2 linked regions of the Drosophila melanogaster genome follow. The gene in region 2 interacts genetically with the main gene of each other region. Each region holds a gene or a part of one and is shown on either strand. Other genes may lie near its edges.

Region 1 (7,800 bases), about 18 Mb from region 2:
TCTGCTTTTACACTATGCGATCGGTCCAACATGATGGCGTATGGCGTATGGCGTCGTCGAAAAGAAAATAGTCAATGTATTGTGGAGGGAAAACAACAAAGCGCGAAGAAAAAGATTGTGGTGCTACACTGCGAGAAGAGGGGCTAAAGTGAATATGTTGCATATTTTAGGTGGCAGGAGCTTGACTTGCACAGGAAAAATTCAAATACTTTGTGCTCAAATATCTTAAAAATATTCATGACAGTTGGTTCTCCTTTTGCAGCTCAACTTTTCTTCGAGTGGAGCTAGATGGGCCATTGTTGTTGCGGCGGCTGTATTAGATAGCAAAAGTCAGTCTGCGTCGAAGTCGGAGTCGGCATAGAAAGTGAAACCACCGCGTTGGCCACACGATCGTCGTTGCCAGGCGAACGGCAGCACAAAGGAGAGGGAACGAAGCCCGGCTCTAAGATATAAGCCAAACAACTAACTATTACTCAATCTGTGCTAAAAAGAAAAATAGAGATAGATGAATAGATGTAAAGTTGGTCTCTGCCTCTCTCTTTCCCTCGAACTCTTCCCTCTCTCTCTCTCTCTCTCTATCTCTCTGTTTCTTGCGGCACGAAAATAAAAGTGAAGTAACCCACTTTTTCCGTTATGGTTTTTATAGTCGCTGCAGCTAAAGTCGAGATGTTGGAGCCACAACAATGCGGAGCGGACGAAGTGGAACTGGAGTGTGAAAGATGGATTGGATGACAACGGAATCGAGATGGATTGAAACCGGGATCTGGAGCTGGAGCTGAAGCTGATTGGAGGTCCAATCTGCCAAGCTTAAGCTCGATCATGTAACCCAACATCGTATCTGTGATTAGTGTTGATTCCATTGATATCCAGTTACTTTGGCATATGATTCAATATATTCTGTTTGGATATGTAAGCGAATAAAAAACTGATGCTAATCTTATAAAATCCTAATTATTGTCATACTTAATAGAATCTTTATTAATTCCTTCATAAATCTCTTTGCCCGTCGTTAAGTGTCCCAGCCTTCTTTCATGGCGGCAATTAGCATTTATCAGCGCGGCGTACAGGTGAGACAGAAAGAAGTGTGTTTGCTGCCTCGTCTGCCCGTTGCAGTTGCGAGTCGCGAATTTATCACTTCTCGCTGCCGCCGCTCATAACTCATACGCCTCGTTGCCGCGGCGCCTAGTTGGGCAGTAATTGTGCGGCAATTTCTGAGCGCTTGCCAAAACGCAGATGCATTCGGCATTCGGCAGGAATCCCGCTGCAGGGGGCGAACTTTCTCCGTAAGCTGCTTAGAACCCTTATCAAAGTCAGGCTTAAATGGGATTGGGATGGATTTCGGTTGTGGCTGCGGTTTGTGGCTACCGAGCGACACCCACAAGTTCGAAGCAATTTCACTTTTGGGCCCAGAGTGCATGCGCAATTAGCTTTCATCAATCAAAGTGCTCAACAATGCAGCTAGACAAATTGGACGCACGCAGCAGCAGCAGCAGCAGCAGCAGTTGGCCAAGATACAGATACGGATGGAAAGAAAGTTTTGACCAAAAGGGCTTAGCCCGAGCCCAAATGTCTGTAAGTGATTATCTGCCCCAGGTCGGCATGCGTTTTTTGGCTCTCTGGCTCCGTGGCTCTGTGGCTTTTGTTTGGGCTTTCTCTGGCGCGTTAATTTGTCGGTTTCTCGAGTTGCATTAATTCTTTTTCGCTTTGTCGTTTATAAATTTGCTTTTCGTTTCGGGTTTGTCTTACTGTCAAATTGTGTCAACACGGCCGCCTTGCGATTGTCTGGGGTCCTCCACTTCGCCCTCCTTCCTCCCTGCAATTGGCCCAGTGTCGCGCCTGGCAGCCCGAAATGCATTGCCTTGTCGTATTTGTCCCATCGGAAGACAGCGAAGACAGCGAAGACAGAAGACGGCGGACAGAAGAAAGACCCTGCCCTCCCAATGCGGTGGTGGTGCGTCTCTTTCTGGTCTTCGCCCAGCGTATCGTTTTGTCGCCCAAGTATGGCCGACATTTAATTAGACACTTTTTGGCAGGGCTTTTGCATCAAATTGTGGCTAGGGCTAATTGCAGATTGGTAGTTGAACTGTGGAAATTAAGAAGTTATCTGAAATTCATTTGGGTTTTAGTCAAAACGCACGACAAGCCGATTCTTTGTATAAGGTAAATTTTATTTAATTTGTTTAGATTTGCTTTACAGTTTTCTTTGTTTGTGTATATTTAATTTACGAATATATAAATTAAAATGAGAACATTGCGTTTGCCTTACAATTAATAGCATTCATATCTTCTACGCTCTCGGAAGCGAACCCGTGGAATTCGCTACAAGTTGGTTGATTTCGGGAGGCTTTCCTCTGGGGATTGTGCAGGTAAAGCGATGCTTGATTCTCCGACTTACGAACTAGAGATTTGCTAATGTTGTGTGTCAAGCAGGGCTGGGCGTGGGAGTGGGCGTGGCATCAAGCATAGAGCGAAGCCGCACACCGTCGAGAACTGTACACATTTGAATTAGATGTATAAATAGTTAATAGGTTTTGAAGTTTGTATTTTCGTTCTTCGTTCCTGCGTGTTATTCTTTTTTACATTAATATTTTTAACATTTTTCTTTGGCTTAACTTTATGATAGATATAATGTATAAGATTATGTATAAAAACGTGCGAAATATATATGTTACAGTCGTTAAGAATTAGAATTAAGTACAAAAATATGCTTTACAGTGATAACAAGAAATGGGGACAGAGTAAATGTACAAGGAATGCCACAGCGATCGGCAGAAGAGTTTGGTCTCCAAGCGATGCAGCGGCCCACCAACTTGGCGCGACCGCTCCATCGTCTACGGCCAGAGAGGACAATGAGGAGCAGGAGGAGAATGAACCTTACGAGCTACCCACACAGCATTTGTATCTTTGATTTAGCAGAGTCTCGCTCACACGCACACACTTACGGCTGGAGCACTCACACACTCATACACACACACACACGAGCACTCAAGCATTCAAGCACTCACGCACACACAGAACTCGCAGGACACTGGCTTTAGCTGGCAGCGGCTACAGCGAGTGTTCGTTGGTGTTGAGGAAGCTGCGGCAGACGCGGCTCACTTCGGGATTGGCGTGGTTCATTAGCTGCATGTAGATCTGCTTGTGTAGCTGCAGCTCGTTGGTCATCTCACCAAGCTGCCGAATGAGGGCGTCCTTCTCCTTGAGCAGGCTCTTCACGCGCTCCTCCACCTCGCGGGAGCGCACCTTAGCCTTCTCCCGGCTCTTGCGCACCGCTATGTTGTTCCGCTCCCGCCGCCTGCGGTACTCATCCGTGCCCTTGTCCACATGCTTGTTGCTGTGCTTGCGGTGCTGCTGCTGTTGCTGGTGCTGCTGATGCTGCTGCTGCGCGTGCAGCTTGCTGTGCTGCTTGAGCAGATTGTGTGCTCCTGCTGCGGCCGCCAGGTGGGGCAGGTTGTGGTGCGCCAGGACGTTGGCCGTCGTCAGGTTGGTGAACTGGCTGCCGTTGCTGCTGCCCGTGCTGCCGTTGCTCCCGTTGCTGCTGGGCGTGGTGTTGCCTCCGTTGAGTGGGTTTCCGCCCCCGGTCAAGCCATTCGCCCCCGATCCGTAGCCGTTGTACAGGCCTGCTCCATTGCCCATGAAGGCGGCCTGCTGGCTAGCCGCCTCCTGCAGGTGCCGCCTGTACTCGGGGTCGATGGGCTCCTCCTTGATCGTGCTGGAGTCGGAGCCCACGGAGCTGTTCTCGTCGCTGGAATTGTTGTAGGTGGCGTGCACGGGCTGCGGCATGTAGGCCAGGGCGCCTCCTGCTCCGCCACCGCCTCCCCTGCCCCCGTAGCCGTGCTGGTTCCGCAGGGTCTGCTGCTGCAGGACCTTCGCCGCCGCCGAGACCATTCCGCTCGGCGGCAGGGTGGCCGAGAGTCCGCCCGGACTGGTCACCATGTCGCTGAAGATGCCCAGCGTTTCCGTGTCCCTGAACTGGTCGTCTATCAGGTGCTGCAGGTCGAGCGTGATCTCCTGGGTGGTCAGCTCGTCCAGGTCCGTCTGAGTGGAGTACTGCTGCAGCATCTGCTTCTGCAGCAGGTTGTTGTTGCTGCCCAATGCGGCGACCTGTTGCATCTGGTGCATGGCGTGCTGCTTGACCAGGAGTGCCGCGTCCTGCGACGTGTTGTTGTTCGCATCGGTAGTCTGCTGCTGGGGTTGCTGCTGCTGCTGTTGTTGCTGCTGCTGTTGCTGCTGCTGTTGCTGCTGCTGTTGTTGCTGCTGCTGCTGCGCCGTGGACATGGCCGTCAGTGTGATCTGGCCAATGGTGGCCTGCTGCAGGGGAGGCTCCTTCTTGAGGTCCAGCTGGGCCAATGTCTGAACGGCATCGGCGTACATCTGCGGCGACTCCATGTTCAGCATTTTCAGTTGCGCGAAGGAGGGTAGAATCTTGATTCCTTGTAGAGCGTTAATTTTGGCTGTTTTTAGAGTTCAGATTTGGGAATAAACTTTTGCTCGTTTGGCGCCTAAAGCATTGCACTGAGGTAAGAAGTGGGTCTTTGGAAATGTTCGACTCGGATAGCTCGCTATTCCGTATGCTTCATCTTAGGCTGCCTGGGTGGTCACTGCAGCCGAGCATCGTACTATTGCTTATTATGTTTCCGATTCTTAGCGCAAAATGTTTTATTCAGTTTGTTTACTTTGTTAACTCGACACTGCACTTCTCCGGCCGCACGCGTTCGAACGACTGAAGTGCCGCGGCAGTGATGCAACAGATTTTATACGAGACGGCCTGACGACTGCCGTTGGCTAGTACTCTCGTACTCGTACACGTACGTGTGCTGGTGTTAGAAACGCTCCTGAAGAACCGTTAGCTGAGCGAGCTTTTCTTCGATTTGGATTTTCTTGGCCAGCGGAGAGCGCGCGTCCGTCGCCGACGAGTGGTAAATTGTAACTGTGACAAAACGCGAACGCGAACGCGGCAAAGTGAAAAAGTCTTTGGCGCAGCGACGCAGCCGAAGAAAAAGAAAATGAGCGGCCAGCGCATGTAACACACACACACACACACATTCACTCGTACCGCTCCACACCGAAGCCCCAAGCGTTGCCGTCGCCGTCGCCGTTACAGCAAAGCAAAGGCGGCAGCAGCACAGCACAGCACGAGCAGAGCAAAAGCAAAGCAAGAGCAGGCAAAGCACAAGTAAGCCAGGCAAAGGCAAAGGCAACTACCTGTGGATGAGAGCGAGAGCCGCGATCAGGTAAAAAAGCAAGAGTTTTCCCAATCACTTTTACTCTCGTCGCAAGGCAATTCACTGGGCCATTCTTGTGGTTGCTGTGCGGGCCAAAAGCACGAATGCAAGCAAAGTGCATTTGGTACGAAGCTGGGAGATACTTCTTCAGTTTCCGGAACTTAATATCATATTTGATAGGATAATTACATTTTTTATATAGAATTTATTACATTTATACATGTTCCACATAAGTTAGTTTAGATATTAGTTTAGATATTAATTGTTTAATTAAGACCCCATCCTAGAATCCAGTATTAGTTATGCGCTGATGCAGTGAATTTCATGATAAAACTCAATGCAACGCACGATCGCGTGACGTCACACAAAAGGGAGCCCCAAGGCACCCACACAAGCTCAAGCGAGCACAGACACCAGCAGCGCGCGACGTCGGCAGCGCAGCCAGCGCTCATTATTCCTTGGCTCTCGCTTTCGTTTTCATTTTCATTTTCGGTTCCGTCGCTTTTGCTTTTTTTGGGAGAAGAGCCGCACAGCCGCAGCGAGAAGCAACAACACCACGCCCGCACACACCGGCACTCCGCTGCGTAACCCCCGACCCCCATTTTGGGGCCTTGCCCACTCCGATTTGTGTTTGGGCTTCGACTCGCTTTGCGCCTTAGAAATACAGAAAAGCAAAAAAAAACACAGAAGTGCAGTTACTTGGTGGATCGGGGGATTGGGGGCTTGGGGATTGGGGCCTGTTTTTGGCGCGCATGCGTGACTGCGCAGTGGAAGCGCAACGCATCGCGGAGCTTTCACGTAATAGGCAGCGACGTCTTATTAAAATTAAGACTGTGTTATGAAATTCATAAAAATTAGCACGGCTCGTAGTTTTGTTTATTTAAATGCAGCGATTTGTGAAGTCGCCTTCTCCACTTTTCCCCCATTGGCGCTCTTCTGCTTGGTGCTCACTCCGCTAACTCTGCTCACTCTGCTGACTCTCCTGAGTTTTCGAGTCTGCAATTTGGGTCAAGTTGTCGTTTACTTTCCGAAGGTGCGTCCCCTGCTTTCGGCCCCGCCTCTCGCCCCCGTCTTCTGCCTTCGTGTATGTACCTTTTGTTTACCCGGACTTTATTAATCATACGCCCCGTGCGCCGTTGCACGATAAGAGGGTATTCCGCTGTCGATGACAGGACAGCCACTTTTCTTCGCTTATCAGTCAAGCTATTGCAGCGAATCGGAAATATCGCCGATATCGATGACTGCATCGAGATTGTGCAAAAGTGCTTCCTTGTGCGTCCACAAAGATATTCTTCTGGTCGGGTGTATTTCAAAACGCATTCAACGCACCCTTATTGTTCTTGGGGGATTGCATTGTGCGGTCTGGTTACCCAAGAACTGATTCCATATCGATCGATGGGAAAGGTGATGAAATCTGCAATTTAAATGAGGCAAGATCGATCCATGTGCACCTTATCTTATCAGATTGTTTATGGAGAAACTACTGGTTAAATGGGATTAAAGCAAAGCAAAGTCATTTATTTATTTGCTTATCCTCCTGCTAACTGGAATCGTCCAAGGCTTACCTAAAGTTACCTATTTATAAAAACTTGAAAGCATAAATTTTTTAAAATAAATTTAAAAAAAAAACACTTCAAATTAGCAAGTAGGTGGACTGGCTATAAATACCAGCCCTTTGGCCAACAAGAAGGTGTTAGCCCTGATAAGATTAAAAACGCAAATACCATTGGCCCCCAGTAATTTCACTTTTTAAAATTGAGTAGGGTATTCATAGAGATGCTAGCATAAATCATAGATATTTACCCATTGATACCAAACTTGGAGAAAGTCTAGCAGATAAGCAGCTCTTTATCACCTTGATCCATTTCAGCGTTTTCCCAAAAGGGAAATTGTAGGCGTATTTATCTGCCGTCGACAACGCCCACGCGCAAAGTGCCTAAGAGTTTTATTTATATATTTTGGCAAACGACTGATAAGACGGCCAAAAGCCGCGAATTCGTAAACAAAACAAATACGAGTAGCGGCCACAATTCACAATTCACAACTGGCGTTCGTTGCACTCTGCAAAAAGTTGTCTGACACATGCGAAACTCCGACTGAATTGTGTTTATAAACACGGCCATAATTGGGAGTTTTGGCCAATGATTTCTAGACGGCGTTGTGTTTTGTTTTGTCTTCATTTTATTCGCCACTCGCAGTCAACTTATCTCGATGACGCGTAGCCAATTTAACTCTGCACTTCCTCAAATCCGAGCTCAATCGAAGTGAACTCGAGTCGATGGGGTTGGGTTACACACTCGCTTCATTCTCACGGCCTTGTTTATAGGAAAGACCTTTCTAGGAAGCTTTTTTGTTTTGGTGCGGTGAATTTTGTACTGATAGAATAGATATTAATTCCATAAGTACGCTTCTTTATTGACTCATCGCAGCAGATAAGTTCATACTTTTCACAAAACCCAGTTAGCCAAAACTCCGGTGGTTTCCACCTAATTGCAGTGTACTTAACACCATTTAAATGCAACCAGTTCGACGACCCCAAACTCTTTTCCAAAGGGGATTCTCGTGCTTTTGCGCT
Region 2 (7,586 bases):
CATCATCAAAACAACAACCCTCACAACTTGCCAGGCTCAAATTGATAAAAGGCCAAAAAGGAGCTTGCAAGTGGTTATGCCAAGACATGGCAAATAGCATCGGAAGCACGACCTCTCTGAGTGCACGACCCGCGGCAACAAACGGAGATACACACACTGGCAATTGCAACTTATTATATTACACTTTCGATGTCATCGCGCGATGTTGCCGCTGTCATTGCAACTGCAATTGCTGATGCTGTTGCTGTTGCAGTGCTGCCGTTTCGGAGTCACTTAAACGAGATAAATCAACGTGGGCGATTACACAATATCTCAGGGTGATTGTCGTCCCCTGCCACCCGCTGACCGCCTTGCATGACTTGGCGAAAAGTGCAACAGCAACAGCAACAGCAAGAGCACCAGCAACAGCCCACAATCAGCAAAGCAAAGCAAAAGCAAAGGCATGGGCAAAGACTCGCGCCATTGGAGCAGTGGGTCGCTCTCGGGGTCTCGTGGAAATATGTGGAAAAACGTGGAAAACCTGTAAGACCAAAGTCGACAAAATCAATAGCACACACACACACTCGCTCAGTCCGGCGACACTGCAAAAAGCAAAGACGACGCCAGCAGTTGCAGCAGCCAACAATTGCGTTGCTGAAGTAGGCAGTTACTCTTGCAGTTGTGTTTCAGCTTTATGAGCGACAATTAAAGTTAAATGCCTCCGCTTCGAAGCTGCGGATGTTACTCGCTGGTTATACTCAAATGCATACGTGCACATGTTTTGGTTTTTGTTTTGCTTTTCGAAAATAAATACATTTTAATGACTACGCTCAGTGGAAGTGGGATTGTTTTTTGTGGTTTAGGAACACGTTAAAATGAGCCAGCCAACGAGAGAGTTTAGTTTAAAAAATCAGCATTTTGACAAGATTCAAATTTTAGGCGCACAGCTCTGGAAAGATTCAGTGCAAAGATTCGGACAAAACGTAACGAAATCGAAATAAAAACCGAGCCAAACACAAAGCTACAACAAAATGCAGTGCTTTTTGGCGGCGACAAAAAAGTACACACACACAAAAACCAAAAAGGGAAGAAAAACAGAAACAGAAACAAACAAAATAAATAAATCAAAAGGAGTTCAACGACCAAAAGTTTAAATGATTTCCGACTGCCAACGAAGAGAAAGAAGCAACGCCGAAATCGCTCACCAGTCAACGAGGGAACGCGATCTTGGGGAGGTGATACGAGGACGGTGATAAGGCCAAGCCAATTGACAAAACGCTCCCCACAAAACATTTGAAACATGCTGCTGCGAAACCAGACACAAATGCCACATTGGCGTTTAGAAGATATGTATGGAATCAGAACCATTTCTGAAAACCGAAACATAACTTAAACATAATCGACAATTGTGCAGCAGATCGGCAGAGAGCACCGTCCATATTCAAGATTAATTTCCCCGAGGGGGTGGTTTCGGTTTCGGACTCGTATCTGCATCTATATCTACATCGATGCAGCCAGGAAGCTGTTTTCGTTTGCTCAACCGCCCACGCGCCGCATGGAAAATCAGCAGCTCTGCTACTGCGGCGCATCAGCCGCCATTTGCGGCTGATAAATGAACGCATGTTGTGCGTATCTGCCAGATACAAATGCCTGCAGTTCGTTGCGGCCTTTGCTCTTCCTTTGTTTCCATTCCACTGCTGCCTCTACTGTGCTGCGCATTTTTAATGAGCGGAAATTAGTTGGCATTGCGGCAAGAGGTTTTGTGGCTGCCCATTTGAGTAGATACAAATGTATCTGTAAGCCATAAATTTGCAATCTATGAGGCACGTGCCTCGTAGGCCCCTTACAAGACTGGCACTTTGCTGTTCTGTACAATTATCGGAACGATTACCTGTCAGATAAATTCAGCTCAATCGGCTATTAGCTTTTTCCAGATCTCGCTGAGCATTGCAGATTTGGTTCATACGTTTATCATGATTGGGATGGGCTGCATTCTATTTGTGTCTTACGGATCACACTTTTGGATCACTTTTTGGCAGTACAGCGCGCGTGTATATTTAGAGAATTTTCTTTGGCTCAGACTTGGCACAGCCAGCCGGTTCGCAGATACACTTTTGCATTTCCCTTTATAGTTAGGCAGTGCATCTAAGAAATACATTTGGCAGCTTGCATTGTTAAGACGCTTAATGATGCCATTAAATACGTCGATGAAAAGGGGACGGGGTAAGCTGCTATTGAATGTCTTTATGGCGTATACTAAAGGTGTTTATGCAAAAAGTTTATTTTTTATTATTGTTAAATAAGTCTTATTGTGTTCCTTAAAAATTTTAAGTTTTCAATATATTTCATAAATTAGATACGACCATCGTGCCTGCCTTTGCATTTAAATAAACCTCAAAAAATCTCAAATTACGACTAGAATTTAGAACTGTCGAAGAGCAACGTACTTCCCTATCGCTGCAAAATGCCAAACTTCAGTAGTGTGCCCACGACATGCACTCACCTGTCTGATGACTCCGACGAGTCGTACCGATCTAGACATCTCTTCTTGGACCCCTTTGTGCCACGTTCTCCTCCAGTTGTTCTTGGGGCTGTTGCCACCGTTGTTGTTTTGCCGACTCCCACTCGAGATGTTGTTGCAGTCTTCCTGGCGCCCTGGTAGAGCTGAGATCGCAATGCGTTTATATCCAATTTGGCGGCTTGGGCTCCAAACCCGCCAAAAACTCCGCCCACCCCCCGTTTGGTACCCTGCACGATTCCAATAGTGCTGGGCGAGGTAAAGGGCCGAGCGGGTTTGGCCGGGGGCTTCAGTTCAATATTGGAGGACAGAGACGGGCTTTTGTTGATGGGTGGTGTGGGTGGTGGGCTTTTGGGAGTAAGTATCGGGGAGGCGGTGGTTGTACTGGCTGGTGCTGTTATAGGTGGTGTGGCTTCTGGGCTACTGTTGTTGCCGACGCCGGCGCCAATTGTCAAACTGTTTGTATTGACGCTATTTTTCAGCTGATCAAACAGTGACAAAGCCGCGCTGGAGGTTAAAGTTTTCCGTCCCGTTGCTCCTGCTGTTTTGACAGAGAGTGGGGCCAGAGGGGCTGCTACTTCAGCTGCCGACTCCTTGGTCTTTAATGCCGTATCCTTTGGCTGAGTGACTGACATTTTCCCTCTATGTTTGCTGCACTATTGCTATAACGACGCTTTTAATTGGTGTTAACTGCTGCCAGAACTCTGGATCTGCTTTAGCACACATCTGCTATTCCCAACGGCTTATTGTTAGTCGACGGAAAGCCAATTTGAATTGCATTAATCTGAAAGTTGCTCGTCAGCAATTTTTAGCCGCACTGCCCTTAAATGGTGTTACCATTCCGATTTTCCCCATCAGTTTGCACAAATTGGTATATATATATCGCCATGAACTTGCATTTTACGACTTTCGTGGGTCGGACTATCGAGTTACGAGAAGTAAAAATATTTATACAAATTAAACAAAAATTCATTTAAATCAATTGCACTTGTATGACTTTTGGCATTAAGCTGCACTTCACTTCTGCACTTATGACACACATTTTTCAATTCGATTGATATTTCAACGAGAAACTACTTGATCATCATAAAATTAATCGACGTCGCGGGTTCGGTTTTGATTTGCGTGGGGTGGTTGGATTTGCGATCCGTTACAAAGTGTTACACTGTGCTTTATGGATTTGTGAATGGCCAGTAGTTATTTCACTGTCGGTTGTTTCCGGTGCACACCCGAAATTCATTCTGCAAGATTGGCCACGCGGTGCTCGCAAGTTCAAGAAAGCGACAATGAAACCGAATTCAAAACCGAAACGGGTAAGTCAGGTTAACCTCCTAGTCGCTGTGACTGCGAGCCAGCTTTTGTTTATTGACAACAATGACGGGCGAACAAACACATCGCAATCTAATCAAATGCATTCCAATGTGCCTCAGCAAACTAGCGATTTACTTATCGCGGGGCCAACTTGTCTGCCGCGCGTACCATTCATAATTAATGTAGTGGTCACTGCTCTTAATAGCCGCCAATTGCAGTATAACCAAATTAAACAAAGTCTAAGAAGCGCTGCACTGCAAGCTAAGAATTCCGAAACGCCATCGATTGGCAAGCGAAAAACTGCGATCTCCCCACGAAAAAGCTGCGGGCTGCTCTTGCTCTGCCTGCCGACTGACTGACGAGTGGGGCCAAGTGGAGTGGGAGTGGACCGAGCGCTGCGGCCCCACCCGAAGAGGTAGCCGACGAGAAGCGAGGCGGCGGACCGAGTGCCAGCCGAATGGCTTAGCCAACTAGAACCGGGCACAAATCAAGATACGAAGCACGCGAAGCAAGAACGAAGGCAACGAACTGCCGTTCGTTTTAATAGGGGCTCTCCGACGAGCTGAGGGTGAAGAGGAGAAGAAAGGGCCGCGTGCAGTGTGTTCACTTTTGATTTCTGTGCAGCGGCAGCAGGTTTTCGAGAGCGGGACCAAGAGAGAGGGTCGCGTGGGGAGCTTGTTGCGCTACAATGTGAGTTCTTTCTGTGTGTGTGAGTGTGTGCATTTGAACTTCTGGGGAAGTTCAGAGATTCCGTATTTGAATTTCAGCATTTGGCGGCTGGCTAGATGGGCAGCAACTTCCGATGTGTCCGCGGTGGCAAGTTCGCTCACACACAAGCGACCCAAGCTGCAGCTACCTGTTGATATGTGTGGGAACTAATCAGAATACAAGAGGTTCCTGCGGTTCGATAAAACTCAAAACCGGTTCATCCAAGCGAGCATGGTTATATGGGAACTTGAGCTCGAATTTGAAGCTAAATACAGATGTGTGGAGAATATGCACCCATAACCAATACCTTGGCTATATGTATCTGTTTTGGCCCACACTTAATAAGGCCAAAAAAGTCAAGAACAAAAACAAAAAAAACACGAGTCTTGTATAAAAAAAGATAAAAGTAAACAAAGTTATGGCAAAAACCAAACAATAACAAAACAGCAAGGCAGCCAGACCAGCTCTCTCACAAACACAATCTAAAGTCGCAACTGTTTTTAAAGACCAAAGAAAGGGAGGGAGCGAGGAATCAAACACAACACGTGCTTTTATTACGCTACAAGCAATGGTACGTACGTCTGTGCGATGCAACTGAGGGAGACTGCAAAAACAGGAGGGACAAAGAAGACATGTTTACGCGAGAATTTTGCGGGTGTGTGCGAGTGCGACAAAACTCGTTTGGTGTCCAGTTTTACTCTACCAATAAAATGTTTGTTCCTATTGAACGTTTTACACTGCACATACTTGGGATCACTTTAATTAAGTGAATGAATTCATTTCCGAGGAATGCATCTAATACAATCAAAATGTTTTAGCTCACAAAAGCTCTGCAAAAAATAGCTCACTCAACCATTGTAAATGCAAAAATACACTGCGTAAGAGTGACAAGTTAAATAAGTTTATAAGCTTGCGTTCGCATTTTGCGCTGCATTTTCCGGAAAGCTATTAAACTGCAGCAAACGGAGAGAGAGAGTGAAAATAGGATTGAGACAATTGAGAGAAAAACAACCATAATGCTGCATTCATACTTCGCTGAATATTTTTGTAGATGCATATACATATGTGTAGATAATATTAAATTAAATTATTAAATATAAAAATAAAATATAATCAAACATTTCCTCAATAAAATATCTAAGCTGGCAATTATACTGGAGCCCATCACAATTAAAAAAAAATTATGGGTCTTTTAAATGCTCTCAGTGTAAAGCTCAGATTGCCACAGCATACAGCTTTTGTCAGCGATTACGTCCAAATAAACAGTTATGCCTTTTCAGTATTTTTATAGATAATTCCAAAATTACATAAGTGGGCATGTAAACTAAGTAAGGAATCAAACCAGTTTAAAATTGATAGCGAACTGCATGATGTTCCTTGACCATCAACGGGAAAATTGGTTAACCAACGCAAAGTCAGTTTAATTACGATAAAAAAATAGACTCATAAATAATCACATATCTAAAACTTCCGAACGCATAAACGAAGACAGAAACCTTTATGTTAAATAAATTTTTCACATCAACTCCATGCTAAATATTTTCCGTTCGACTCCAATTTAATGTGTATTAATACGACTTTAAAAAAGGTTTTCCGCACGTTTGAAAAGGCATTTAAAAAGCTTATTTATTTAAAATGTTTAGCTGCATGGATTGATCAAACAAGAAAAAGAAAAATTTGATTACATATTTTTCATTTTTAATTTATTGATCTTAATTTATTTTTCCATATCGTTTAACACTATGTGCTCACCATAAAATGTGGAGAAACTTTTTAAAGCATAACAACATATTTCTTTATATACTTTTTATGTCTCAGGGTGTATTTTTTACCTTTTTATTTTAAATCAAAGACTTTCAAGAAATGTTTCATTTTTTTTAAAGGTTATTGTTAAAAAAGCCAATTTAGATTCTTCTCGGAAATGCGTGGGCAAGGATGTAAAAATCTGTGAATAGTGAAGGGGAAATTGTACTTATGGATTCCTTTACATTATTATTTAATAAAAAAAAAGAAAATTGATATTGGGATCAATTTTTATTAGCGGTAACAGTGACCGAATAATATTTATGATTAATATTATTAAGAATAAGAATATATATTAATATATATTAAGAATAAGAATATATGTTAATATATATTAAGAATAAGAATATATATTAATATATATTAGAAATATGAGGAAGGAAAAATATAATTAACGTATACTAAAGTAAATATGAATATAAATAAGAAATATGAAATATAAGAAATATATAATTAACGTATACTAAATTAAATATAAATATAAATAAGAAATATGAAATAAGTATAGAACTAAGCGAAGAATATGAAGGAGGAAAAGTAACGATGAAATAATAAAAAGGAATCAAAATACAATTCGATCGCCGACGTGTGAAGACGTTTTTATCGTGCTCCGCACAAAATCGGTTGTTTTGAGTGAAGTGAACGCCAAATAAAATAAACTAAATAAAAAATCTGAAAGCGAAAGAGACGCTCTATGCGATGCAAGATCGCTTAAATACATAGTGAATTGTTATCTTAAATAATAAAACTATGAGTCAGAATGACACTCGCGCCCAGCGTCAGCGCGAGCATGACGAACGCCGACTCTCAATTCAGCGCAACAACGCGTACTTCTCCTACGTCTCACCGACAATCCCAAACGCAGACATCGAGCGGTCAATAACCCATAGCCCAGGAAACCTTCTTCTACCAACAAATCAAGAAAGAGCCCGCTCCTGCTCTCCCGCTCTATTGGCTCCGACAGAAGCCCCGCTACCTCCAACAACAACAGCTGGAGAGGGACCGGCAGCCCGCTCTGCCTCGTCATCGGCTGCACCCGCTCACGGTCTGACTAAGTCAGCGAAAGCAAAACCGCTAGCAATAAACGGTACTGCTGCACTGCCAGCAAAACAAAACGAAAACGTAAACAAAAAAGCTGGGTCGACCTGGCAGACTGGAATGGACCGCTACATTACAATAAAGCGAAAGCTCAGCCCGGAAAATTCAGATTTGGGAAACAAGCCGAAAAATACACGCGACAACTCTACCTTGATCAAAAATGTAGCCC

Evidence for each region. A genetic interaction does not mean that the proteins touch.
Region 1: of jing (region 2) and slbo, changing one suppresses a phenotype caused by changing the other (phenotypic suppression), as found in Drosophila melanogaster (one study listed by BioGRID).

Annotation. Positions count from the first base shown.
Region 1 is NT_033778.4:24,329,373-24,337,172, forward strand, and holds slbo (slow border cells), read right to left. Parts: upstream 4,936-7,800; 5' UTR 4,399-4,935; coding exon 3,049-4,398; 3' UTR 2,150-3,048; downstream 1-2,149. UniProt on the Drosophila melanogaster protein: Required for the expression of gene products mediating border cell migration. Among the DNA sequences that this protein binds with high affinity is a conserved site within the promoter of its gene.
Region 2 is NT_033778.4:6,498,585-6,506,170, reverse strand, and holds the start of jing (jing), read right to left. Parts: upstream 4,166-7,586; 5' UTR 3,133-4,165; coding exon 2,483-3,132; intron 1-2,482.